4 linked regions of the Arabidopsis thaliana genome follow. The protein of the gene in region 1 interacts with the protein of each later gene in a pairwise test. Each region holds a gene or a part of one and is shown in the gene's direction. Other genes may lie near its edges. The genes, in order: BLH1, KNAT2, KNAT6 and HSL1.

What was found.
Region 2: the proteins of BLH1 (region 1) and KNAT2 interact in binary tests that used the Arabidopsis thaliana proteins (3 or more experiments, as listed by UniProt).
Region 3: the proteins of BLH1 (region 1) and KNAT6 interact in binary tests that used the Arabidopsis thaliana proteins (3 or more experiments, as listed by UniProt).
Region 4: the proteins of BLH1 (region 1) and HSL1 interact in binary tests that used the Arabidopsis thaliana proteins (3 or more experiments, as listed by UniProt).

Annotation. Positions count from the first base shown.
Region 1 is NC_003071.7:15,088,242-15,094,402, reverse strand, and holds BLH1 (BEL1-like homeodomain 1), read left to right. Parts: upstream 1-1,987; 5' UTR 1,988-2,176; intron 2,177-2,224; exon of another isoform or gene 2,225-2,287; 5' UTR 2,288-2,336; exon of another isoform or gene 2,337-2,616; 5' UTR 2,617-2,703; coding exon 2,704-3,546; exon of another isoform or gene 3,547-3,863; coding exon 3,864-4,252; intron 4,253-4,336; coding exon 4,337-4,397; intron 4,398-4,482; coding exon 4,483-5,232; 3' UTR 5,233-5,641; downstream 5,642-6,161.
Region 2 is NC_003070.9:26,574,886-26,582,507, forward strand, and holds KNAT2 (homeobox knotted-like protein), read left to right. Parts: upstream 1-1,600; 5' UTR 1,601-1,749; coding exon 1,750-2,022; intron 2,023-2,262; coding exon 2,263-2,397; intron 2,398-2,470; coding exon 2,471-2,609; intron 2,610-6,771; coding exon 6,772-7,013; intron 7,014-7,104; coding exon 7,105-7,260; 3' UTR 7,261-7,546; downstream 7,547-7,622. UniProt on the Arabidopsis thaliana protein: May play a role in meristem function, and may be involved in maintaining cells in an undifferentiated, meristematic state. Probably binds to the DNA sequence 5'-TGAC-3'.
Region 3 is NC_003070.9:8,296,791-8,304,342, reverse strand, and holds KNAT6 (homeobox protein knotted-1-like 6), read left to right. Parts: upstream 1-1,742; 5' UTR 1,743-1,850; coding exon 1,851-2,171; intron 2,172-2,309; coding exon 2,310-2,438; intron 2,439-2,539; coding exon 2,540-2,678; intron 2,679-6,354; coding exon 6,355-6,596; intron 6,597-6,685; coding exon 6,686-6,844; 3' UTR 6,845-7,052; downstream 7,053-7,552. Other genes in the region: MENG (S-adenosyl-L-methionine-dependent methyltransferases superfamily protein), read left to right, coding at 7,450-7,552. UniProt on the Arabidopsis thaliana protein: Plays a role in meristem function. Contributes to the shoot apical meristem (SAM) maintenance and organ separation by controlling boundary establishment in embryo in a CUC1, CUC2 and STM-dependent manner.
Region 4 is NC_003075.7:15,477,682-15,485,404, forward strand, and holds HSL1 (HSI2-like 1), read left to right. Parts: upstream 1-1,697; 5' UTR 1,698-2,131; intron 2,132-2,492; 5' UTR 2,493-2,553; intron 2,554-2,813; exon of another isoform or gene 2,814-2,960; 5' UTR 2,961-3,107; intron 3,108-3,300; 5' UTR 3,301-3,366; intron 3,367-3,443; 5' UTR 3,444-3,549; coding exon 3,550-3,668; intron 3,669-3,851; coding exon 3,852-3,933; intron 3,934-4,021; coding exon 4,022-4,123; intron 4,124-4,219; coding exon 4,220-4,746; intron 4,747-4,835; coding exon 4,836-4,932; intron 4,933-5,025; coding exon 5,026-5,200; intron 5,201-5,388; coding exon 5,389-5,465; intron 5,466-5,601; coding exon 5,602-5,919; intron 5,920-6,006; coding exon 6,007-6,056; intron 6,057-6,180; coding exon 6,181-6,294; intron 6,295-6,458; coding exon 6,459-6,526; intron 6,527-6,602; coding exon 6,603-7,216; 3' UTR 7,217-7,673; downstream 7,674-7,723. UniProt on the Arabidopsis thaliana protein: Transcriptional repressor of gene expression involved in embryonic pathways, such as LEC1, ABI3, and FUS3. Repressor of the sugar-inducible genes involved in the seed maturation program in seedlings.

The DNA of each region.
Region 1 (6,161 bases):
TATGCGCTATGGATGATTTATTTTACATAACTGGTAGTTTGTTTATGTGGACGGTAAACGATTCAAAAAGATAAGCAAATTTGTCCACATATGTTTTTGTTGTTCTACATACAAATTATAATTATCTATATCGTATAAATAAAATAAATACAAGTTACTAAAAAAGACTTTCTCATGAACTTAAACACTCTTTGCAATTAATCAACTAAAATTATCTACTATATTTCTAATTATATTTTAAATAAAATACTTTTAGTCAAATACCCTTTAAAAATAGACATACGTGGTAAACTAAAAGAATATATGAAATAAAGAAATAAAAGTAAATATACATTTAACGGGACCCACTCTTTCCCCATCATGCTTCATTATCATTATCGTTATCATCTTCTTTCTTCCTCTCTCCTCTCTTTCTCAATAATTTAGATTTTTGTGTGATTAAATATTTTAGGTTTCTGCAGAAGGAGACGTTTCCTCGTTTTTGTGCTGTTTGGATCTTCTGACACAATTCACTTTTCCGTATAAGTTTTCAATTTCTCTAATCCCATTATGTATATTTAAAATATTATACTCTTAACCTATTTGAGTGTTTGGAAGAAAAATATAAACTAACGGTAGGACTTTCAAAAATGAAATCTATTCATTTTCTAGAATAAAGTGTTGATGCGTTTTAAGTTTTTATGTGTATGTGGTAATATAAAACTTTGTAAATAAAGTATCTTAGTTAATCTGCTGAGGAAAATAATGAAATGAAATTAAAGAAAAAAACAGTTGAAAAAAGAAAAAATGAAAAGAACTTGGTAACGTAAACATTACTAATTTTATTACTTATAAATCATAATCAGTTCAAAGTTCGTTGCCATCCTCAGTGTACACTCTGAACTTGCTAGATGATAAAAGTCTGCAAGAATAGTAATCCGAAGAATACTTTATGTTCAGGATTGTAGTTATATCAATAAAGAAAGATTTGGATTGAGATGCGTGTGGGATTTCTTTTTATTAAATAAATACAAATATAATGTTTTAAAAGAAAATGATATGATTCTAAATTGGACACGACATACATATCACTATGTCTTGATGTGATAACATTTACTTCATCTATGAAATTATATCGTCTATAAATAACTAAATAAAGGGTGTTTGGTTGTTATGATATGTGGGTTCATTACCTGGTCAATACATGAAAAGGCCAAAGTCATATCATACAAGTTCCTCTGTTTTTCAAGTATACCAATTCTAAATTTATAATAAGATACGTATCACATATATATTACCAAATAATGTATACATATGTCTATGAAGTTGAAATATTTCGAATTTAATATTATCTCTTGTACTGGATGTCAAACTAGAATTTCAACAACAAACAATTATATGCACATTTTCTCACTTAGTTTTATGAATTTTAGCTCCCTATGATATATATGTACTTTGTAACTTATTTATCACCATGCTATATAGTGATAATAACATGAAGTAAAGGTTTTTTGAACATGCAGTATGAAAGAATGCTATGTCTTTTTCTTAATTTATTCATTAATCTTTTTCTATTTAAAAAAACTGTTGAACCAATTGCTCTAGAGTACACTAATTTAAATGATTACATAAAGCTATATCTAAGTGTAGAGTTTAATATCAATTTTGAAAACAAATTCCAACATGGTTGGAATGTCTATTTAGCATATTAAATTAAAAAGATAAGTAATATTAGCTGGTGGTGAACGTAAACACACACACACACACAAATTGTTTTGCGGATACAAGTATATATCAATATATGAATGTAAAATTAAGTTACATTAGTGAATATTTCATGTCCTAAACATTGGTTATTGTCCCATTTAACAAAAAATCCACTTTGGTTATAAGATATACCGACCACAACACTAAAATAAAATAAAATAGAAAGAAAGTGATGAAAAATGGTGGCGTACTAAGGACTGTGGGAAGATTAATGAGTGAAGGAAAAGATGGGTATCTTTTATCTCTCCTTTCTTTATCCTCTCTCTCTTTCAATATATATTAGTCATTTTTATTTTGTTATATATTATTTCTCAGCTTTTTAAATGTATTTTATATTTCCCCTTTGAGCAAGAAAAGAGTTGCAGAGATCTTTGAGTCTGACACAGAGACCAAACTCACATAGCAATCACACACATCTCCACAAACACAGGTATGCATATAAATATATATATATAAGTGTATATTCGTGTGTATGTGTGTGTGTCTGTCTCTCTCTCTTTCTCTTTGATAGAAATTCTCTAATGTAACTTTCCTTTTGCAGCTTGAGATGATCATGAAACACGTGCATCCTCAGATCTCTATCAATCCAGGTTCTTCATCTTTTATAATATTCATTTTTTCTTTCAATTTCTAACTCTATTATTTTATTATTTTATTTTCAATCATGATTATGTCTTAATTTCCATATCCTTCAATCTCTCTTTCTCATAATCCATAATTCATCCCTTCTTCTTCGTCTTCTTGATGTGATCACGATTCTTTTTTTCTTCGCTTCAACTGTATATATATACAGATCTATATTAAACTTATAGTGGTTTTGTTTTTGCTCCTTTTTCATACTTTTGTTTGTTTTTCTATGATATCAATCAGCTTGGTGAAAGAAGGTCAAGAATTGAAAGAGAATCAAAGAAAACGACGTCGTTTCATTCGTGTGTAACAACTACTAATTATACATAGATGGCTGCTTACTTTCACGGAAACCCACCGGAGATCTCTGCCGGATCCGACGGTGGTCTTCAAACGTTGATCCTCATGAATCCAACTACTTACGTTCAGTACACCCAACAAGACAACGACTCGAACAACAACAACAACAGCAACAATAGCAACAACAACAACACAAACACAAACACAAACAACAACAACAGTAGTTTCGTTTTCCTCGATTCCCACGCGCCGCAGCCAAACGCGAGCCAGCAGTTCGTCGGAATACCACTCTCAGGTCACGAAGCTGCTTCCATTACAGCCGCCGACAACATCTCCGTACTTCACGGTTATCCTCCGCGCGTGCAGTACAGTCTCTACGGTAGCCACCAAGTGGATCCCACTCACCAGCAAGCCGCGTGTGAGACGCCACGCGCGCAGCAAGGCCTCTCTTTAACCCTCTCGTCTCAACAGCAGCAGCAACAGCAACATCATCAACAACACCAGCCTATTCACGTCGGATTCGGGTCCGGACATGGAGAAGATATCCGGGTCGGGTCTGGCTCTACAGGATCGGGGGTAACAAACGGTATAGCTAATCTTGTTAGCTCCAAGTACTTGAAGGCAGCACAAGAGCTTCTTGACGAAGTAGTCAACGCTGATTCCGATGACATGAACGCTAAATCCCAACTATTCTCATCGAAAAAGGGTAGTTGCGGAAATGATAAACCTGTCGGAGAATCATCGGCCGGCGCTGGAGGAGAAGGTTCCGGTGGCGGAGCAGAAGCAGCCGGGAAACGTCCGGTGGAGCTAGGCACGGCAGAGAGACAAGAAATACAGATGAAGAAAGCAAAACTTAGTAACATGCTTCATGAGGTAACAACAATACGTATTATATACAATAAGCCTACATATACTGAGTGCTCTCTTATATCACACATGAAGTGGACTTAAAAGTTCTGTCCCTAAGATTTTCAGTCATTTTCACAATTCATTTTATATGTATATTAAGCTATCCTTTTTTTTTTTTGCTCTTCCGATTTCTCAAATTGACAACTTACAAGATTGATGAAATCTTTTTTTTTTTGTCCCTCTCTTAGTAAAGACTAACAACTTTTATAGATTATATTTATGTAGACCGTACACTTATGTTCATAAGACTCACGTTACTTTGTTGGTTGAAAAATGAAAAGGTGGAGCAGAGATATAGACAGTACCACCAGCAGATGCAGATGGTGATCTCTTCGTTCGAGCAAGCGGCAGGGATAGGATCAGCGAAGTCATACACGTCGCTAGCATTGAAAACCATATCAAGACAGTTCCGTTGCTTGAAAGAGGCGATCGCTGGTCAGATAAAAGCGGCCAACAAGAGTCTTGGGGAGGAAGATTCAGTGTCTGGTGTTGGGAGGTTTGAGGGGTCGAGGCTCAAGTTCGTGGACCACCACTTGAGACAGCAAAGAGCTCTTCAACAACTGGGAATGATTCAACATCCTTCCAATAATGCTTGGAGACCTCAACGTGGTCTCCCAGAACGAGCCGTCTCAGTTCTCCGTGCTTGGCTCTTCGAACACTTTCTTCATCCGTAAGTAACCCACTATACACACATGCACTACTTTTCATCACTGGAACACAAACTCAGTCTCTAAGTTGTCTTTCTTTTAATTAGATACCCTAAGGATTCGGACAAGCACATGCTAGCTAAGCAAACAGGACTCACTCGTAGCCAGGTACGTTTCAAAATGATTCTTTCTTGTGTTATTAGGTTACTTAAGAAAGCGTTTTTAAGTAAATTTATTTTCTTTAATTATTTAGGTGTCGAACTGGTTTATAAACGCGAGAGTTCGGTTATGGAAACCAATGGTGGAGGAGATGTACATGGAGGAAATGAAGGAGCAGGCAAAGAACATGGGATCCATGGAAAAGACTCCTTTGGATCAAAGCAACGAAGATTCTGCTTCAAAGTCAACAAGTAACCAAGAAAAGAGCCCAATGGCGGACACTAATTACCATATGAATCCCAATCACAACGGTGACCTAGAAGGCGTCACTGGAATGCAAGGAAGCCCCAAGAGACTAAGAACCAGCGACGAGACAATGATGCAGCCAATAAATGCGGATTTCAGCTCCAACGAGAAGCTCACGATGAAGATTCTAGAAGAACGGCAAGGGATAAGATCAGATGGTGGCTACCCTTTCATGGGTAATTTCGGGCAATACCAAATGGATGAGATGTCAAGATTTGATGTAGTCTCAGACCAGGAGCTCATGGCGCAAAGGTACTCAGGAAACAACAATGGCGTGTCCCTCACGTTAGGTTTACCTCATTGTGATAGCTTGTCGTCCACGCACCATCAGGGTTTCATGCAGACCCACCATGGGATTCCTATAGGGAGAAGAGTGAAAATAGGAGAAACAGAGGAATATGGACCCGCCACCATCAATGGTGGTAGCTCGACCACAACCGCACATTCATCAGCGGCAGCTGCCGCGGCTTACAATGGGATGAACATACAGAACCAGAAGAGATATGTGGCTCAGTTATTGCCCGACTTCGTTGCATAAACCCATCTCTCTAGAAGGAGAAACCGAAACAGGTTATTATATACGTTTCTAGTTTTTAATTAGTATATAGTTTCTCATACCATTGAACCAAAACAAAGAACAAAATTTAATTTTAGTCTTTGGTTATATATGGCCGACGGTTGTATATCGATTTTGTAATTTTTTTTTTTCGTTTCTATTGGGGGATGGATAGGGTTATATATGTATATGGATTAGTTACGTGTAATAGCTTGCATTGGGTGTATACCAAAATATATTTTTACTTTTATTACAATGTAATAATTAATAAGATAGTGAACTGATCTATCAAATATGGAATGATGATTACAGATTAGATCTAAGCTGTATAGATTCCGAATATGACATGTATGCTTAAGCGGCTGGAAACTTATAATATTTTTTGAGGAGTGTTTATGTGTTAAAAGCATATTAAATAAAATTCTACACATTCACAATACAAATATAAAAAAAAACAAAGAAAGCAATCTCTGAAATAAGATCTTACGAACTGTTGAATTGAATTCAGATTTCAAACTTTGTGTATAGTTTTTTTTTTTAAATCAATTAAGATTAACGTTTATAAAACTTGTTATAAATTTTCTTTTCAAGATATATAAAAATGAAAATGTTCAAATCATTTTGTAGAATAGCGTCACCTGCTGAGAGATAAACTTACAATAACAGTAACAATTTTTTTTTTCTGTTATTAAAGACATTGACAGAATATTTATATGAAGACTGCGTGAGAGTGTGAGACTAATTTCGGAGAGGTTTGTAAGAAAAAAGTTTACAAAAACATATGCGAATATTTAATATATATTTTACTCATTTTCGGCCCATAACTTTTTTTGGGCCCAAATACCTTTCTATAGATATTAATAAATAATGAAATTTAGTGAAACACATGAAATATGTTGCGACTATCGGAG
Region 2 (7,622 bases), on another chromosome or scaffold:
CCAATTTCAGTAACATTTCTAACAACAGAAACAAATTTGTTCAAAACCACATATTGATGATATGAGATACAAAAAAGAATGACAATAAACTCCTACAAAGTTGAAGCAACCGAGTGGTACAATAATATATTAACAAAAACCTCAATACAAAGAATTGAAACCTAACAACACTAAATCACGGGAACAGTATGAACAATCCATGATGAAACATTCGAGTGGTACAATATTATCTTAGCAACATAATTATATGCACTTGATCTAATAATTTAGTCGTCACTTTTTGTTATTATTATTTTTTCTGCAAGACACACATTTTTTTTTTGCAATCATTTCTCGACGATAGTGATCATATAGATTATAGAAACTTGTGACCCCCCCCAAAAAATACAGAAAAGTTTAGAAACAATATAAATATGTGCTGTGAAGGCCACCGGTGGGGATTCAATACGATACGATCCAACGAAGTGAAATGAGAGAGAAGGAAAGTTCTGTCGTTTTTATAAGGTTTGATACTAAAACAAAGCTTTATGTCAGTTAAATTTCACACCAAAGTAGTCCGACGGATGTGTCAATCAAACCTGTCCATCATCAAAAAGACCTTTATGACATTTGTTTTTATTTTTTTTTGCGGAAAAAACGATATGGATCATCGGATCGGGTCTGGAGTAGACCCATGCAAAAATATAGTTTTTTTTCTTACAACAGGGTTTATAGATGGATTTTGGTTTATGACAAAAACTGCAGGTTCTGTTACTATATAAGGTAATGAAACATTTTGAGTTGATATTATACGCGACTAACAGATTCTCTATGAAAATAACAAGAAGTGCGATAAGTGGAGTGGCCACTATAAAAAATAGTTCCTAAGAGTGTGTTTAATTAGCAAATGACTGAAAGCAATTAAAAAACAAAAATTGTTTACTATGTTGTGATTGATAATGAGCACCTAGCTACCATAGACGTGTTTTACAGAGAAACAAAACTAGGTGAAAATTGAAAGAGTGAAATTGAAGTTGAACCGATCCGGTTAGACAACTAGAATCGTAGTAGCCTAGTAGGTGTCGGCCACCGTAATTGAAACAAAAAGCTTATTAATTAACAAAATTACCATCATTTGTTTTTACTGTCAAAATTCAAATTACCATCGTCTAACCTGTTTTTGTTAACAAGTACTAATTGTTGTCTTCATTAGCTAAGTCATAAATTCTAAAGGTTAGCGTGCTATTTTGATCATTTGTGCGATAATATTATATATCAAAAATAATCGTAACCATGTAATCGTACAGTTAAAAAAAGTGCTCTTGAATCACGAAGAAATCTTTTTATAATCACTCGAATCGTATTCCTTAACACATATGGCAAACCCTTGAAATCTTTCTTCTTTTATACTAGTACGACAAAATAAAATAAAAATTATGGTGTCTTTAAGAAAAACTTGTAAATTATCATAATAAACTATGAAAATTCATATTCGTGATTTTTTTTTTTTTTTGCTTTTCGTCACAAATCATTTTTTTTTTTTTTTGGTTTTTTGCTGAAATATTTACGATCATTGCCCTCAGACTACTATACTACGAGACCGCCTCAACTTGGCCAGTCTATCTATTTCCATTGTCTCTATCTCTCTCTCTCTTTGAAGCAGTTTGTTACTTCTTACTTTTGTGTTTCTTCATATTCTTCAGAAGCAAGCACAAGGCTAGGGATCGAAGAAGCGGCGATCACTGATCGTATCTCACTACGATCACATTAATGGATAGAATGTGTGGTTTCCGCTCGACGGAAGACTATTCGGAGAAAGCGACGTTGATGATGCCGTCCGATTATCAGTCTTTGATTTGTTCAACCACCGGAGACAATCAAAGACTGTTTGGATCCGACGAACTCGCTACCGCTTTGTCCTCGGAGTTGCTTCCGCGTATTCGAAAAGCTGAGGATAATTTCTCTCTTAGTGTCATCAAATCCAAAATCGCTTCTCATCCTTTGTATCCTCGCTTACTCCAAACCTACATCGATTGCCAAAAGGTGATCTCGCTGCTTTCGTGTTTTGTCTTTTCTTTTTCTTGTTGTGTATGATTTTGTGCTTTCAAGGTTAATTTGATTAAGCGTCAGGAATTTTACATGTATTCATCGTCGTATTTAAAGATAGTTCTCTTACTTTTTTTTTTCTATTCCACTTTAACCCTAAGATAAGATTGGAGAACTAGAGAGACTGTGTTTATATGTGAGAGTGATTTTTTTTTTTTTTTGGTTATTGATTGACAGGTGGGAGCGCCTATGGAAATAGCGTGTATATTGGAAGAGATTCAGCGAGAGAACCATGTGTACAAGAGAGATGTTGCTCCATTATCTTGCTTTGGAGCTGATCCTGAGCTTGATGAATTCATGGTTTCTCACTTTGTTCGTTGCCTTGAACTTTGATCTTCTAGTTTTTCTTAAAATATAATTTTGTTTTTTTGTGGTGTGATTCTAGGAAACCTACTGTGATATATTGGTTAAATACAAAACCGATCTTGCGAGGCCGTTCGACGAGGCTACAACTTTCATAAACAAGATTGAAATGCAGCTTCAGAACTTGTGCACTGGTCCAGCGTCTGCTACAGCTCTTTCAGGTCAGCACTAAAGTGATATCTATCTCTTGTTCGAGTGTACTTTTGATTTCTTGTTTCCTAGCTAGTGTTTTTATTGATCTTTGAGCACTATCCTCGGTTTGTGTGTCCTTTAAAATCCTTGCGCAAATTTCTCCTTACAGTTACAGATCTTGCGGATTAGAAAATCTATCCTCAGATAACTTTTCCTTTCTGTGCTTCAATGATCAGTTTCTTGGAATTGATGGAAAAATTGGAAATCTTCTACTGTTTTTTTTTTCCTTAAAGAAAACGAGAATCGATAAGTTGTTGTAGCTGAAACTAGGAGGAGCTTAGTAGATCCGGTTTAGACAACCCAAGGCAATAAAAGTCAGAAAAAAACAAGGAAACTCTAAAACCCTAGTTTTGTTAGAAAACAATGATTGATTCAGCCACATCTTTTATATTTGGTAGAAGTCATTCATGCTTTAGATAGATCCATGACCTTCACACATCTTTGTGACATTTATTTTCTATCATTAGCTATGGTTTAAGCTGTGGGGCGGATATTAGGGGAAAGCCGGTGGGTAGGATTTTCTCTGTTAGTGATATTTATTTTCCTAGTGATTTTGGTATGGTATACTTTTCTTTTGTTACTTTTATATATACTTGTATTATTATCTTCTCCTCTGTCAGAAGAAAATATGGGTCTATGAAAGCAAAAACTTTTGCGCTAGAGATTCTGATTTTGACGTTTCAGTGTCGTACTGGAAGTTTTTTAATTGCTTATTTCCAGTGAAAATTCAATCATAGAGAAAAAACCTAGTCATAACTTCCACTAATAAATGCCACTGATTTTTCTTGAGTTTGTCCTTGGCTTCATGTTTAGATCTCTAGTAGTATCGCTTGTTTTCATCTTCATTAAGAGACTGATGGGTAAAACAAAACTTTACTAGTTCTTGATTACTCCAACTTCTCTTGGTGAATGAACCAAAGTTTATACTACTTTTCCATAGAAAGTGTCAGACTTAAGTTTTATCCATGTCACTTTAGTTTTTACTATTAGAGAGATAAAAATTTATTGTGTATAATGAGTATAACATAAGATTGATTTGTTTTCTTAGTGTATGTGAAAATTAATGACACTAGCCCTTATTTTTGAATACATTGTATTTGCACCTAAGGGTCTTACATTTGAAGTCCACTGTGTTCAAATTACATGTACAAAATCATTGGTGTGATTAATTTTCACGAACCTATCTGACTTAGTAAACCAAAGAAGTGTCTTGATCAGGTCAAATAGTTGGATTTTGTGTTTCTTTAGCTCGAAAAAGCTAAACCAAATCTCTGTTGGATTTCAGTTAATCTGAGCTCATGCGCATGTAAGTCCATAAAAATGCTTGATGGCCAAGAGGCTTGTATATTCTGCATGTCGTGGTTAATGTGTCTGTTATTCTTGTATTCTTGTTGGAATTTTATGTGAATAAATAAATGATTGAAATGCATTAAGACACTTACACAATGTAAGTGAGGTTTACTAATTTGCCGAGGTATTAAACTAAACTTAATGGTACCTTCTTTTCCACCATTTGTTTTCTTAATTAAGCAGAATAGAACTTTGTAAGTATTTTACAAGCAGCCCAAATAAGGAATAGTAGGTTTCTTAAAAGAATGTAATTTTAGTTGTCTTTGTGTTGTTTTTGTAGCTTATATTGGTTAAACCTTTCCAACAGGGCAAAAATTAGTTTCTTGTTAATCTACACTAATCTACTTAGCCACGTTCATGTTGTCAGAATACGTGTGTATATTTTTTATAAGTAAAGTATTTCACTATCTTAGGGATTTTAAAGTAATCATTTTACTTCTTCATCTCCACCTGATAAGAACTAGCTGGAAAAAAATTGGAACTACAATATAGTGGAATTCAGCTTTAATAGTCTTCTTTTTCTTATATGTTGATATCAAATGCTGCTTCGGTTGTACTTTGTTAGCATTGTTTAATTCCGAAAAGTTGTTAATACTTATCAGCGTACTTAATTAATTGGAGTTTACATAGGGAATAATCTTGTCCAAAAGGTTGAAAAACAGATCACTTGCAGCTTGAATTTATCTTTATTGGACGAATGTTTAGTTTTTTAATGGTTTTGAAGTACCACTTACCTTTTTAGCGTAATCTCATGTATGATTTTGAAGGAATATATATTACCTTATGAACATCTTTTCCTTGGTCAATACCTTTTTCTGTTTCTTAAGTCCCGAGAAAGGACTTTCTTTTCAACTGAATATCTTAAACTAATAGTATAACTCATAATATGTAGTTTTCAGAGTCATGTGCTTTTGGTTTCTTTTCGTGCTAATATGCTTTAGGAATAAACCAAATCCTCTTTAGTCAACTGATGTTTGTCATAGCAATTGTGTTTACTTATTTTTTTCGTTCTCGCTTTAGTGTGCAATTGACCCTTTTCGTGATTAAGATGGTCAATCTTGGCCATGGTTTTTGTTCCATCCTCATATTTTCTTCTAATCATTTGGTGTTCGGATGGTGTATTGATACAATGAGATCCATGTGCGATTTTGTATCCATATGTGGAATTTAGGACTATTGTTTAAGATTATTCACTACAGTCTACAACTAGTATTTTTGTGTTGTAAAATGCATTCACCCTAGGTCCCTATGCATTCACCCTAGATATATCTTTGGCTGTGAATGATATTCTATTCATTCAATGTTCGTAGGAAACTCGAAAAGCATGTTCTTTTGAACAAAATACTCTGTCATGGCACATTAGTTACTTCACCAGTTCTAGACATGATAATACTGATAATCTGTTTGGTTATATCACCTTCGTTGATAGAATGGTCCTTTTGACACGCACAAAAAAACACACCCAAATGCTTGAATTAGAAATCTTTTAGCCCTTTTTAATTTCTAAATAGAAGAAGTTGGAGACAGAAGCATGAGGTGGTCAAGTGTCACATGGACTCCCGTGGATTACGTTGGTGGATCCCTTTATGACCCAATCGCAACACTCTCTTTTTAAGATTTGATTTGATTTTAAAGAAAAAGAAAGAGAAGAAAATAGGGGAGAGACATGGGTTTTGATTTATGTACAATGCAATCATCTTACGACTAATGTTTCTCCACATCTTTTTCTACTGTTGCTTAGTGGTTGTCATTTCCTCTCTGCGTTTGTTCCCTTAATGGGCCATGCAATTTCCACGTGTTTAACTTTTTTTGGGAGATGTACAAGTCTATCTACTTTTTTTTTATCAGTGCATGTTGTCTCTTTCGCATTGTCTTGATGTTATATAGGAACCAAATTCGGCTAATAGGTAAAGAACAAACCGAGTTACTATTGCACATACCATCCTCAACTAGCAAAGTTTTCATGGATAGGGTGTGAACTATATTTTGTGTGATTTGTCTAAGGATCAGCTCATTAGTGGTGTAGCAAACTACAACCTAAACTCTTTAGGGAGACTTTGAAACGATGTCTTTCTGTAATCACTAAGTTGAGAATACTAAGTGAAATTTCTATTAATGCAAATAATTTGACCATTAATCATGTTTAAACTCCCTTAATTAGGCTCCCTTTTAGTCGCAGTAACATAGGGGTCAGTATGGTATGGTCATAAATGGGGCATTATGAGAAAGTTCATAAATGTTGGGGAAGCGTTTTTTCCGGGGGTCACTCAAACAAGTGTCAGAAAGGTGATACGTGTCGTGACTCAGGTGGCTAGTGGTAAGTCCCAAAGGAGCACGTCAGTGGCAATGGAAGCTAAACTATTCAGTGACTGCGAAAGTTTTTGACTGATCATTTTTGTGCCCGGGTCTTGTAAAACCTCGATATTATCTCGCTATCCTTGTTTTTCCCCTTTTACCCCTTTCTTTCACCCTTTTTTTTTTTTTTTTTTCCTTTCTTTCACCCTTGTTCTCTTCTCTATGCTTTTTTGGCTCTTTTCTTCTTTTAGCTGCTTTAGCCACTTAGTCATTTAGCCGAGCCTACTAGTATCTTAGTGTTAGCTATGTTTGTTAGTGTTGGCATAGTGGTAGAATTTGCTTTCTACATTGTCAAATATGCTACCATAAATAGCACCACCATACATTCTCCTAGTACATTTTATCGGTATGGCACGTATTTGGCTAATACGTGGGAGCTAATCATTATTGAATCTTCTGTATGACATTATTCTCATGTATGAGCAGATGATGGTGCGGTTTCATCTGACGAGGAACTGAGAGAAGATGATGACATAGCAGCGGATGACAGCCAACAAAGAAGCAATGACCGCGATCTGAAGGACCAGCTACTACGCAAATTTGGTAGCCATATCAGTTCATTGAAACTCGAGTTCTCTAAAAAGAAGAAGAAAGGGAAGCTACCAAGAGAAGCAAGACAAGCGTTGCTCGATTGGTGGAATGTTCATAATAAATGGCCTTACCCTACTGTAAGTGTCTTTCTGATTCCACCGTAACCTAGCATACACTCATTAATTTATTTCTTCGACATATTAATATCCGCCTCTCGAATGTGTATAGGAAGGCGACAAAATATCTCTGGCTGAAGAAACAGGTTTGGATCAAAAACAAATCAACAATTGGTTTATAAACCAAAGGAAACGCCATTGGAAGCCTTCGGAGAACATGCCGTTTGATATGATGGACGATTCTAATGAAACATTCTTTACCGAGTAATGAAAAGAGAGACATGAAATTGTGCATTGTATAATTTTTACACTGTTTTTCCAAGAAAAGAAAACAGTAAAAAGCTTTTGGTAAATGGGGCATCATCGCGAATGAATGGAACCCGTTAGCCAAAACGGTCAAGGGCGTAACGAGACATTGTATTGGAAATAGTGGCAATATTATGTCACTAATCTTCCAATCATCCAAATTGATAGATTTCTTATTTGTATTGAACCTTACTTAGATAGCTGATGTGTCAACTAAATAATTTATTTTCATTATCCATTCGGGTAGAAGAATTCATTATCCATTCGAATTTTGTGACTATTTGGCTCGGTTTCGGAGCCGGATTTTTCGGATCGGTTTTTGGA
Region 3 (7,552 bases), on another chromosome or scaffold:
TATGATAGACGTAAAAAGCTGTCGACAAAACTAAAAGAATAGTTCCATTCGAAATATTATAGATGCTCTCGTTCTATTTTCTTTTTGGTTAAAGTGCTCGTTTTTTTCTTGATACTCTCTTTAAATTACGGCCAATTTCATAATTTCAAACTTAATACATATGTAAAATCATTAAATATACCAAATTATGCTTATGTCTATTTTTGTGAATAAATTACATAGTTCATTTTCATAAGCTAAAGTCATCATGAATATCAGCATCATCAATTTTGGCATAAATTTCATAAATCATAAATTAGCTAAGACCATTGATTTTGCAGCTCCTATACGCCTAGACCAGCGTTTATTTTATTCTTAGTTTTATCCACAAACTTGCTTTATACAGAACTATTCTAAAGTAAACACTAGCTGATACTATATACTAATTTAATCTTAATTAGACGATTTTCCATTAGGGCCTTCTTATCTACTATCTAGGAACGGACCTTCGCTTCTCGAAACCCATTTCATCCCGTACAATCGAAGTGTCCAACATCCGAGTTGGTAAAAAATTTCTTACTACGTAGTAGGTACTAAGAATCACTTATCATATCCATATATTCTTCACATTTGATTTATTTCATACCATCATTTGAATATATATGTGTTGATTATCATTTTGTTAGTAGTCGTGTTCGATAATTTTGTTCTGTATCTAGCAACAAATTTACAGTGACAAGTATTAAAATAATACCGCTCTTTAACTATATATATGTATGTATCAGCTCACTAGTTGTTTGTAACCAGTTCTTGTTTTTCCAGTTTGATATATTCGATTCAACATACCCAAAACATCTCTCATATACTGAACTAATATCTATTTCTAATTGACTCGATTCAATATCATTAGTACTATATTATCTTCTGATATGCGACTTCATTTGTTTTCTTTCTTCTGTTCGGTTTTCCACTTGTTGTTTAACATTTTCACCTTGTTTCACTATTTGCAATCAAATAAACGATTTATGTAGGTGTATCTATATATGTTCTTAGGATCATAATAAAAATATATTTTCTACAAAGTTTTTCGAAAATATATATACATTGGGGATTATTTTTTTAACTGTCTACAGCTCACACATGCATATTATCATATTTGAATGAAGATAACGATACAATGCCGATACTGATACAAATCATTATGTTAGATGCTCAATTTGTTTCTATAGGTCCTATAATATATACATCAAGTCATCAACTATACTTTTTGAAAAGAAAATTACACAGAGCTTTCAAATAAGTTGCGTGTAGTTTAGTGGTTATATGTACTAGTAGTTATGTTACCATCTAAGTGTATTGTCGATGAGAAAAAAAAGAGTTCAAATAAACTGACATAGTATGCTGGTAAATAATCACACTTTTTCCGTTTTTTCCATTTCGTTTTCAATAATATATAATTTTGTTTCTCGCCATGTTTCATTGATATTAAAAATCTCATGATCATGCAAATTCTATCATAACACAGCCTTGGACCTTTCTTAGATATATATGTTAGGAAGGCCTTATCTCGACCTATGAAGCCTGAAGCTCCATTGAGCCTTTTAGCATATGTCCTTTTTCGTAATTATCATTTTATTTTTCTTCTCCGTTAACTTTCATATCTTTTTTCTTCCAAAAGAAAATAAATTAAGATCCCTCGAGCCTCTCTCTCTCTCTACACACTCCCATAGAAATAAATATTTTCAAGAACCAAAAAGTTTGTTATAAGCGGTTTCATATTATTCTTCTTCATCGATTCTTGATTTTGCAAGAAGACAATTCAAGAAAGCGATTTAGAAGACGGAGGAGTTCTTACCGGAGATCTTATACTTATGGATGGAATGTACAATTTCCATTCGGCCGGTGATTATTCAGATAAGTCGGTTCTGATGATGTCACCGGAGAGTCTCATGTTTCCTTCCGATTACCAAGCTTTGCTATGTTCCTCCGCCGGTGAAAATCGTGTCTCTGATGTTTTCGGATCCGACGAGCTACTCTCAGTAGCCGTCTCCGCTTTGTCGTCGGAGGCGGCTTCGATCGCTCCGGAGATCCGAAGAAATGATGATAACGTTTCTCTAACTGTCATCAAAGCTAAAATCGCTTGTCATCCTTCGTATCCTCGCTTACTTCAAGCTTACATCGATTGCCAAAAGGTGATCGTTAACTCTTTCTTTTTTTATCACTTAGATAAAATCTAGGTTTTACTTTTTAAAGATAAAGATAAGATTGAGAAGCTTTGATATTTGATTGTTTTTTTTATAATTTTATGGTTTAACAATTTCATAATTTAGAAACAGGTCGGAGCACCACCGGAGATAGCGTGTTTACTAGAGGAGATTCAACGGGAGAGTGATGTTTATAAGCAAGAGGTTGTTCCTTCTTCTTGCTTTGGAGCTGATCCTGAGCTTGATGAATTTATGGTCTCTCTCTTTTTTTCCCTCGATTTTTTTTCGGATTTTTATTTTTGTTAAAATATTTTTTTTTGGAAATTTTTGTACTTAAGAAGATAATTTATTATCAGGAAACGTACTGCGATATATTAGTGAAATACAAATCGGATCTAGCAAGACCGTTTGACGAGGCAACGTGTTTCTTGAACAAGATTGAGATGCAGCTACGGAACCTATGTACTGGTGTCGAGTCTGCCAGGGGAGTTTCTGGTATGTCTTAAATTATCCCTCTCTGGTTCGGTCTTTTAGTGGTTCTATTTTGTGGTTAGTTCTGAATGATTTCTTTTGATCTTTTCCGTGGTTTTTCATTAATAATATCCTTTCCTCGATATTTCCATAGGGTTTTGATTCATATGACCAGTTTCTGAAAAATGATTGGTAGCTTGTTGATAGAATAACCCTAGGCTTTTGAAGTGATCAGAAAGCAAAATAGATAAAAAATGAAAAAAAAGAAGATAAACCCTAGCTACAAGTTTCATTTCCATAGCTATTTTTCCCTTGATGGGTTTTGTTTTGTGTGTGCTTTTCTTTTGGGCACGTTGAAACTCTGGAGACAAAGATCTGTTTAAGGTGTTGTGCAATTATTTTACTCGTTCATTTAATGTTTTAGCCATGGGATTAGGGTGTTGGAGTGTGGTGGGGATTTCCTCTTCTTCTTGTTGTTGATCTTTGTGCTAATCATACAAATTTTACTTTATATCTTTTTCTCTTCTTTCTCTGTCAGAAAGAAAATGGTGTAGAAAGCAATAAACTTTTGTGGTAGAGATTCTGATTTTGACGTTTCAGAGGCTTGTTGCGTACTGAATGTTTTTTCAACTTGTTGCTTTTTTCTAGTGAAAAACCAATTGACAGAAAAACCTAGTCATAACTTTTTAACAATATGTGTAGTTGATTTTTCATGAGCTTCTTTTGCTTCACTTCTCGTTTAACAATAAGTAAGTATAAGTACTAGTCATAACTCATAAGTCGCTTCACTCTTGTTTATGGGTAACAACCTTATTAGGTTACCAGTTTTTCTAAGACTTCAACTTCTTTTGGTCAGATGATTATTAATAACCAATAAGCCATAAGAGTTATTAGCTGTAATTCCTCTTTAAGCTCATTCACAGATTCTCTGGATCGGAATTAATAAGCGTGTTTAGATAATTTTACGATTAAATTTCTGTTATATCTTAATAACACACCATATAATTTTTCTATCTAATTAAATAGGTTAAAACAATAAAGTTAAAATTGTATTTTAAATTTAATATAGAAGTCTACAAAACGACATTCTTTGTGAAATAAAAATTTAATCCTGAATTCGACATTTATTATGAAGAACGTAACTTTGGTCTATTTCAAGTTTCAATGATCTGAGAACAAGAGTAGGGAGATTTTTGTTGATCATCGGAAATAGTATCATTGCCAAGTGGCCACTCTTATCTGCATGTTCTTGTTGGAGTCTTGTTGGACTTATATGTAAGTAATAAACCAAAACTGACTCAATTTTGAAGCGATTTAAAAGTCTAGGTTTTATGCTTATACATGAATGAAATGCTTCAAATAAGTGACTTTCTTTGTGGTTTACTGATATTATCTCTTTAGACCACATATTGTACTACAACTAGCAAAAACATTGTGGCCATAACAAATCAACCGATCAGGTTAGCTAGAAATACTGATCCTTAGGAGTTTTTTTTTTAATACAATAAAATAGAAGAAAAACTCCAGCTGAAAGAGTTAGCTGTAAAGAAATGAAACTCCATAGATTGGTAGACTTTTTTTCAGCTTTGCAGGAGTTTTCCATTATCGTGGTCGATCTCAAATGCAGGTTCCACTTGTACTTTGGTAATATTGTTTATTGGGGGAAAAAAGCTGCTGATATATAAAAACATATCAGCTTATCTTTATAAACTAATCGAGAGTTAGCATAGAGTATCAACTGGAAAAGTTGAAAATAGATCGATGCAGGTTTTCCATAATGGACGAATGTTTATGATTAATAATTTTAAAATTTGTTCAAAGTACAACTTGCCTTTTTGAATGATCTCATCTGTTTTTTTTTTCTTTGGTTGTGTGCTTTATTTAACCATCTTTTTCTTTCACCTGAATGAAATCATAAACTAATAAAGAAAAAAGAAGCTTACAATTGTTAGACAATATTCACATGGGATGCGATGTTATCTACTAGTTTCTCAGTTCAATCACATGCTTGGTTTCTTTCATGTTGATCTGATTTAGTAATACAAGTTGATCACATAGACTTTTGATTTCTCACTTCTTGGTTGTTGTGATACGGTAATGCAACTTAGCGAAAGCCCTTCTTTGGACTAGCTAAAAAAGCAACACATTCTTTTCTTCTAATGCGTGGTTATCTTGCTACTTAGAGTGGATGGTCTCTTATTGACTTTTATAGTCAACATTTGTCTTGTTGCATGCAATATCATCAATGTTACATGTTTGCATATTTGATCTAGAAGATAAGAATACTGCAACGAGAAGAATAGGAACATAGTGCATGATTAGCTTGAATTAGAGGTTCTTTTGGTTTTTGTTATAAAGTAAAAGGTGGAAAAGTCACATGGACTCCCGTGGATTCCGCTAATGACCCCACCAACTTTCTCTCCTAAGATTTTATTTTTGATTTGGTTATTAAAAAAAAAAGGAGACATAGGGTTCTCTACACACCACAATCAAATCATCTATAAGACTGCGACTATGCTTCTTCTCTATCTTTCTCAACTCTTTTGCCATGCCCTCTGGTTGCGTTGTTCCCTTGGTGGGTCGTATTATGTCTCTCTGAGGCACGCTACTAGCACGTGTCTACTTGCATGTTACCTTCTTCAGTGAACCCTATTTTCAAAGCAGTCAATGCATTGCTGAAAATGTAAATAATAATCCCAACCATACAAACTATCGTTTTTTGCCATTAAACTGTTACCCTAACTACTCATATGTGTGTAATGTGAACGTAATGGTCTCTATAATATATGATCAGTTCATGTTTTATGCATTTTAGTATATTTTTATTGGCCTATTTAACATCTCTATTTCCTTCATAATTACTGTGGCTGCTGTAGAAATCTTTTAACTTTTATAATATGTTTATAAAACTGACTGAATTGCGTGAATTATAAATTGACTGAAATTACCTTGGCTGTTGTAGAAATCTTTTAACTTTTTTTAATATATGTTTATAAACTGACTGAAATTGCGTGTATATATTATGTAGTCCAGTATTTTGTGTGACTGACTAAATATTTTGACTAAGCACGGTTGCTTGGTCCGACTATATATTCTGTCACATAGGCAAAACTATTGTAAAATCAGGTAATGTTCTTGAATCGTCTTTGGGTTGAGTTTTGGTGTCAGAGAAGCTGGGTAAGTGGGTCAGTAGAGTCGTTGGGGCATATATATAAATGTCCAAATACATTAAAGAAAGAGAGAGAGAAAAGGAAATTGAGTTTTGGGGTATCGTGGAGAACATAAATGAGAGGTGTAGCGTTATTTCCGGGGGTTCACACAACCTCTAAATGGTATTTACACGTGTCATATTGAGATTGGGTAATTAGTAGGCCTAAGGGGGGATGTCTCCTCATGGGGACAAGACTATTAGTCCTCTCCTGACAAATGACAATGGAGGTAACTATTCACTGCGGCGGTTTTTTGACTGCTGCACTCAATCGTGTGCGTCCTCGATATTCTCTACCCCTTACCACTCTTTCTTCTTTCCCTTTTTTGCCCTCTTTAGCCACTTAGCCGTTTTAGCCGAGAAAGCCCATTTAAACTTTTTCATGGTAGTGAATAGTGATAATTCTGTTACATTTACTTGCTATAACCTATAACCATTCTCTGTCTTTGATGTCTTTGTATAGTGATAATTCTTGTGAATTTGGTGTAACAGAGGATGGTGTAATATCATCTGACGAGGAACTGAGTGGAGGTGATCATGAGGTAGCAGAGGATGGGAGACAAAGATGTGAAGACCGGGACCTCAAAGATAGGTTGCTACGCAAATTTGGAAGCCGTATTAGTACTTTAAAGCTTGAGTTCTCAAAGAAGAAGAAGAAAGGAAAGTTACCAAGAGAAGCAAGACAAGCTCTTCTTGATTGGTGGAATCTCCATTATAAGTGGCCTTACCCTACTGTAAGCAAAAGCAACACTTGCATGTTTTCCGACATAACTAACCACTACACTTATATATAAATGGGTGGTATGAATGTGTGTGTACACAGGAAGGAGATAAGATAGCATTAGCTGATGCAACGGGGTTAGACCAAAAACAAATCAACAATTGGTTTATAAACCAAAGGAAACGTCATTGGAAGCCATCAGAGAATATGCCTTTCGCTATGATGGATGATTCTAGTGGATCATTCTTTACCGAGGAATGAATTTATTTATGGTACTTATTTAACGTTGATTAAAAGATGGATGTATAATTCTGCCTTGCTTTGCCGACAAAGGAAAAAAAGAAAGAAAGAGTGAAGCATGGACGACACATGAAATGGATCTTACACTCACTCACATGTAGTAGAAGGAACAAGTCAAAATGCTTTGTAACTATTATTATCGGTGAATAAAAATAACCTCTTTTGTCTTCTCCGGACCTCTCGTGATATAGCTTTTACCCTCTTATTGGCAAAACGTTGAACAAACAAAATACTTAGATAGGTTAGATTTGTTTATTAACTATGTGTTTTTCAAAAATAATTATAAAATATCTTGTTATTTGTGTAAATCACACTAAATTAAACACATTCTTTTATTGACAGTTTAATCATCATGTACATTTTGCTAATTGTAGCCAAAAGTTTAGCTATCTAGCAATTGGAACCTTGTGCCCATAATCCAACCATCTCTGTTTAAATTTTGGGGTGGGTTTCAAATTATCCTTATTGGGCCTAAAATCGGCCCAATATTAAACTGAAACCAGACTTTTATCCAATCCGAGTAATCGGAACAAAACAACATGATCGTGTGAACCAACGGCCAAAAAATGGCGGCTCTACTCGGTATCGTCTCTCCTGTGACTTTCACCGGAAAGCACCCGGTAAATTCCCGATCGCGACGGAGAACGGTAGTAAAATGCTCGAACGAAC
Region 4 (7,723 bases), on another chromosome or scaffold:
TCTGAAAGGCAACAATATTAGACTAATATAGCAAATAACATGATATCAACGTATGGGAGTGTAAATGTCTGAATGTTCCATTTGAGAAATGTCCTCATCATGTGACACAAGTTTATTAGGCTACTCAAGTTAGCTTAGAATTAAGAAGCTAGAACATGTGAAAATAAATAGAAAACAAAAAAGAGGAAACAAAAACTAATAACAGAACGAGAAGTTGAAACCTTTTGGATCCAATTAAATGAATATCGATGTAATTCCAAAATGTTAGTTCATGTGTTAATGTTTGAAGATCTAGTACATATGAATAACATTTGAAATCATTTTTGTTTCATGCAATTACATAACTACAAGGGTTTTCATCACATATTGCTAATTAATTTTGAGTTTAGAATCCAAAACATTTAACCGAAAATCTAATAATTTTAAAAAGGGTGATTTACTCATCTATAAGACTAACTAAAAAAATACGTACTAAATTATTTACAAGAGACAATTGATAACTAGAGTATGAATTAGTTGTTTAGACTTACCCATGTGTCAAAGTCATATTGACAAATGGCTCGGTTATAACTGATTTATATACCAATAATTGCATACAAGTTTGTTTCTTAAATAAATCAAGCAATATTCATAAGATTGCATGTGTATTTTCTGCGAAACTATTAGTACGAATTCGTGGATATGCAAATTTAATGACTATGCAAAGTAGGTGAGAATGTAATAGCGATTAGAATAGCTAGGGTTTAGCCTACCAACCATGGTAATCCAGTTTCCTAATTATCGTTAGTTTTTGAATCCCATTCATGCTTTTATCTATTTTTCAACCAATCATGTCTTTTTACCAACAAAGCATTTCCAGTCTAAGCAATATGGTAGGTAACTCGGTACGATAAACAGAAAGATAATTTATTATTCATCTATAAACGAATAATTGGTTCTCACATTACTCATACAGAGGAAAAAAAGGGATATACAAACCCTCTCTAAATTATATAGTTTTGAATTCACTGTTGTTTATCAACAACATATATAACTCTCTTACCCAATTCTTATTATTGTTCATACTTCATAGACATTAACATGTACGTATAGTGATTGCTACAATGAATGGTATGTACAGATATTGAGACAGACAGTAGAAAGGGATGAATCGAGTATTTATTAAAGAGAAAGGAAAGGGCCAATCTATGCCTAGTTTCAATTATGAAACTCAACCCATGAACTGATTTAAATACTTTACCTATCGGATAAGACTTTTAAGGGTCTAAAATATTTTCCAACTATTTTTCATTTGCAACAAACCTTAAAGTAATATGCTAAAGAGATCTTTTCCAAAGGTGGAATGATTTTTTTGATCTAAAACGGCCCATCAACCAATCTTCGGTCCATTATCCTGACATGATTATTTGGGCTACATTTTTTTAAGTCTTTTGCAGTAAATTGTTGAACCAACAAAAATAAAGAGTTGGAGTTGGACCTAGTAGCTGATCTGCTGATGTGTTGGTGATGGTCGTCGTGGGTTCCTGTCTTATAACCCTAGAAACCAAGCCACTTCATCATTCTCAAATTCAATGCTTTACTAAATAATATTATTATCGAAATCAAAATACTAATTTAGACGTATATAAATCTAGAAGCAAACCTTAGGTGAGGTCGAAACAGAGATGACCTTTTGCGTGCACTTTAATTAATATCTTATTACATAAAATGTCACACTTTGAGTAAACTTTACATTATTCTCTCATCCATAATAAATAAATAAAGCATACTGGGTTTTAGGTCAGGCTGACGTCAGCAGTTTCTTTGTGTTTCATTTTTTTTTTTTTTGTAATCTAACGCTCCAGATTTGTTGTCTTCTCCACGAGCCCTTTGTTGTTGTTGGTAATGGAGATTTTCGCTCTAAGTCATTGTGGCTTCTTCTTCTTTATTTAGAAACCAATTCATCAACTCCTTCGTTATTTCTAAATCTCTTTGCCACTACCTCTTGTTGCTGCAATTGAATTGGCTCAAATCTTCTTCACTTGGTCGACGTAAAGACGACTTTGACTTGGTTTTTAACTTCACTTCTCCGTCGAAAACTATCCCTTCTCTTCCGATCGAATCAATCGGCTCTCTCTCCACACAAACCAAGGTAAGGGTTAACCCTCTCCGGTGATTATGCTCTGATAAATTTACTTGCTCGGCCATTAGTGTTCAGAAACTTGGTGATTTATGCATGTTTTTTTTTGTTCAAAGACCGTAGATTTCGGAATTAGGATTGTAAAAATTGAACCTTTACATCAGTGTTTTTACAAAGTTATAAGCTTTACTTGGAAATCAGTGGTTTTTTGGGTCAACCAAAGTTGAAAGATTTGAAGAAGAATGAAACTAGTTCGATTTATATATCATTTTATTGCTTCTTAAGAAAGTGTCGTCCTTGGTTCTTTATGAATTTCCAATTGCAGCCAAATATGTCATGTTATTCACCTAATTTTTGTATTTTCCAATTGCAGCCAAATATCTTCTCCTGTTACTGGAGACAAACCTGCATACATTTCTGTCATCTCTGTTAAGGTATTACATTTAGTTTACTTGTTTACTTAATGTAGCTGCTTATTACATTTTTTTCTTCAAGTCTATATTCTTCTTTCAATAGCATTAAAAGTTATGTGTATCCTCAGATTAGATCTTGCTGACTCGCAAGTTTTTGGATTATTTAGCGGTTTAATAAGAATTATATCTTCCTTGAAATTGTGCCTAGGTAGTGGAATCGTTGTTAGCCTACTGTAGCTCAGATAGGTGATGGATCATTTCCGTTCAATTGAATAATTTGACTATTTAAGGTTTGCACTTAGTTTTGTCTACAGAATCAATTCATCCTTTTTCACAGTCAAGATATTATTCTCATTATCACTATTGTAGACTTCTTGGACTTCCATACATTCATCAGTCAACTTTTCGATGGTGCGTTTTTATCACAGTGGCACAATTATTTAAGAGGCTCCATCTCCACTGCACCACTGAGAAGTTTCGTGTGGACATGTCTAAGCTTAGAATTGGTTTGGTTGAAAACTGAGGAGATGGAAGTGACTCGTGGTTTCTCTTTTTTGGACAAGTTTCTTCGAAAGGTCTGTTGATTTTCTTTGTCTCTTGTGAACTTTAATTTCGTTTTTTTTTCCTTAGGATGCAATGATATCTTATCTTTAGATGTCAATATCAAATGTCCTTAACTATTCATTCATTTACGGATTTTGATTACTTTATAACAGTTGGTATCTTCTTCTATATATCGTCATCTTATATGTTTTTATTTGTATATAGTCTTTCACAGAAGGAGCGTATTGAGTTTCTCGACAATATATTTGACATCTTCTTCTGCCTTTTCTGGTAAGTGTTTAACTTTTCTGATACCAATTAGTTTTCTTAATCATTGCATATTTTTAATGCTTGTGCCTTTATTAAAGAGGAAAGTTGCGGTGGATTAAAGCACCATCGTGCGGAGAATACGATAAGGCTCTTGCTTCATTTGAAGTTATTGACAGTTGAATCGAGCCGCTCAATTGGTCAATTATGGAGTCAATAAAGGTTTGCATGAACGCACTGTGCGGAGCGGCCTCTACGTCGGGCGAGTGGAAAAAAGGCTGGCCTATGCGATCCGGTGATTTAGCTTCTCTCTGCGATAAGTGTGGGTAAGGGCCTTCACTCTTGTGTCTAATTTGAATACTTTTGCGACCAGTTCGATATTCGCAACACTTCTGCGATAGATTAGTGCTGTGGGTTTGCTTACAATTAGAACAAGAGTGGGTACGTGAAGGGAATCTATATTTCATGATTACTTATTAGTAAACTCTGTGAATGTTGGTTTTTGATAGGTGTGCATACGAGCAATCCATATTCTGTGAAGTGTTCCATGCCAAGGAATCTGGTTGGAGAGAGTGTAATTCATGTGACAAGGTGACGAAAATCCATGGCTTACTACACATGTTTTTGCACTCAACGTATTTCAATTGTTTTCCTTAATACGTATTTACGTTTTTTTCAGCGTCTTCACTGTGGATGCATTGCTTCTAGATTTATGATGGAGCTTCTAGAGAATGGTGGTGTTACCTGTATAAGTTGCGCCAAGAAATCCGGACTAATTTCTGTAAGACAATTTCCTCTCCATGAGTTAACTTCTTGCAAGGGATGCTTCCTTGGTCTTGGTTTCTCTGTCACTATACTCATGTAATCTCTCTTACAGATGAATGTGAGCCATGAATCTAACGGTAAGGACTTCCCCTCATTTGCTTCAGCAGAGCATGTAGGCAGTGTTCTTGAGAGGACAAATCTCAAGCACTTGCTTCACTTTCAAAGAATCGACCCCACTCATTCTTCTCTTCAAATGAAACAAGAAGAATCGCTGCTTCCTTCCAGCCTAGATGCTCTTAGACACAAAACTGAAAGGAAAGAATTGTCTGCACAGCCAAACTTGAGCATTTCACTTGGACCTACGCTTATGACAAGCCCATTTCATGATGCTGCTGTTGATGACAGAAGTAAGACTAATTCGATTTTCCAACTGGCCCCTCGGTCCAGGCAGCTGCTTCCAAAACCTGCAAATTCAGCTCCCATTGCTGCTGGCATGGAGCCTAGTGGGAGCCTGGTGTCACAGATTCATGTCGCTCGGCCTCCTCCAGAAGGTCGCGGGAAGACCCAATTGCTTCCCCGTTACTGGCCTAGGATTACTGACCAAGAGCTGCTGCAATTATCTGGACAGTATCCTCATCTGTATGTTATAATATCGTGTTTCTGCTTTTATTCTACCATTATGCACTATTTTTCTGTGCTAAGGAGTCCTTGACTGTTTATTTTCCTAGCTCAAATTCCAAAATTATACCACTCTTTGAAAAAGTTCTGAGTGCGAGCGATGCGGGTCGTATTGGTCGACTGGTTCTTCCGAAAGCATGTGCAGAGGTAACTTGTTTCTCTGTACGCTTATTTGATATTCCCAAACTATTGCTATCTAAATGCCAGGTATCAGCTATAACCGTCTATGCTTCTATGTAGGCATATTTCCCCCCTATATCTCTACCCGAGGGTCTCCCGTTAAAGATACAAGACATAAAAGGGAAAGAATGGGTGTTCCAGTTCAGGTTTTGGCCTAATAATAACAGCAGGATGTACGTTTTGGAGGGTGTGACTCCTTGCATACAGTCCATGCAGTTGCAAGCTGGTGACACTGGTACTTTTCAAATCCTTTTGTTTCGTTAACTACATTCATAACATATTGATAAACCCACCCTGGTATGGATAAATGAAACATTGGCACTAAAGCGTTCCAATCATGAGGACAGTGAAATACATTCCACGAAGAGATGACCGTACTTTTCTATTAGGTCTGATGTCTTGGATTTTCCATGTTCTCTGCAGTAACATTCAGCCGTACAGAACCTGAAGGAAAACTCGTAATGGGATACCGTAAAGCGACGAACTCTACAGCGACACAGGTAAATGCATAATAAGCTGAGAGTTGCCCCCTTAGGCATAAGTAACTGCCACTGTGAAGTGTATTGAATTAAAGAATCCTTTTCTGGTGCTCTCGTACTGATTCTTTCAGTGAAATATTTTTCCGTGTTTCTTCAGATGTTCAAGGGAAGCAGTGAACCCAATCTGAACATGTTTTCCAACAGCTTGAATCCGGGATGTGGTGACATCAATTGGTCTAAACTAGAGAAGTCTGAGGACATGGCAAAGGATAACTTATTTCTTCAGTCGTCCTTAACTTCTGCTAGGAAACGGGTTCGGAACATTGGGACTAAGAGCAAGCGTCTGCTCATTGATAGCGTAGATGTTCTGGAACTGAAAATAACTTGGGAGGAGGCACAGGAGCTGTTGCGGCCTCCCCAATCCACCAAACCCAGCATCTTTACGCTGGAAAATCAAGATTTTGAAGAATATGACGTGAGTTACTGTTAACTGTTTAGTTATCAAAAACAGCTGGGAACTTTTCACTGTATTTTCTGAAATCATGTATTTGCTGCTACCCAGGAACCACCAGTTTTCGGGAAGAGGACCCTTTTTGTCTCACGTCAAACAGGGTGAGGCCTCATGTACTATGTAATGATAGGATCAGAAGAATTAAGCACCCTTGGAATGATCGAAAGATTTGAAGTAATGAACATCTGATTATTTGGTTCTGATATGTGATCCATGAATTCTCAGGGAACAAGAGCAATGGGTGCAGTGTGATGCTTGTGGGAAATGGCGACAGCTGCCGGTGGATATTCTTCTTCCACCAAAGTGGTCGTGCTCTGATAATCTCTTGGATCCTGGCAGGTAAACGAGGTTGCATGTTCATGTGTTTAACCTAGGCTAGTTACCACAGAACATTGCGCATTTTTTTCCGAAATAACTTAGACTACACATATGGGATAATTATAGATTTTTGACTCACTGAGACTGGCCATCTGAATAATTTGAGTTGCTGTTTATATCGTCAGGTCTTCATGTTCCGCACCTGATGAACTCTCTCCAAGAGAACAGGATACACTTGTCCGGCAGAGCAAAGGTAAAATCCGCAGCTATTATTGGTCTGTATAATTAGAAACTTCCTTCTTTACATAACGAAACTTTCGTCTCAACAGAGTTCAAAAGGAGGAGACTGGCATCATCAAACGAAAAGCTAAACCAGTCGCAGGATGCATCTGCTCTGAATAGTTTAGGAAATGCAGGCATCACCACAACCGGTGAACAGGGGGAAATCACGGTTGCAGCCACGACCAAGCATCCAAGACACCGGGCAGGGTGTTCGTGCATCGTCTGCAGCCAACCACCGAGCGGAAAAGGCAAACACAAGCCGTCATGCACTTGCACTGTGTGCGAGGCAGTGAAGAGACGATTCAGGACGCTCATGCTGCGGAAGCGGAACAAAGGAGAGGCAGGACAGGCAAGCCAGCAGGCGCAGTCACAGTCAGAGTGCAGGGACGAGACAGAAGTGGAGAGCATTCCAGCGGTTGAACTAGCCGCAGGGGAAAACATCGACTTGAACTCAGACCCGGGGGCTTCCCGAGTAAGCATGATGAGGCTTCTCCAAGCTGCAGCGTTTCCTCTGGAAGCATATCTGAAACAAAAGGCTATTTCCAATACAGCAGGAGAACAGCAAAGCAGTGATATGGTCAGCACAGAACACGGTTCGTCCTCAGCCGCACAAGAAACTGAGAAAGACACAACAAATGGAGCTCATGATCCTGTGAACTAAACAGCTTTGGAATTCTCCATGAGTATTTATTCTTCAGTGGTATGTGTTTCTTATTTACACAAAAAATGTCTTCGGTTTCGTCTCAAATTGGTTGAGTGGTTACGACCATTCTACCAATTGTCGATCGAAGAAATGAGGAATTTGTAGTTTGCTTTTCTTTTTGTTTCTGGTGTTTTGGTTTGGTGTGTGGTGAGTTGAGGCTTGAGAGAGAGAGACAAATAGATTTGATGAGGTTTTTGAAAATACATAGGACACTAACTTAATAGTTATATCTAATATGGAAATGGATGAAGCTTCTAAGAAGAGAATCGGTTCTGGAGGTGGAGCTTCAAATTTGTACGCCTATCTATCGCAATCTTAAGTTTCAAAATTCGAACCTGTACATAATTTTTATTATTTTCAAGTTTGTTTATGAAATTTATGATTTACTTAAATTAGAGAAATTGGTTACGCGAGATCCTATTATTTTGATTTGGTGATAAACTTATGGTATGAAGACACACAATC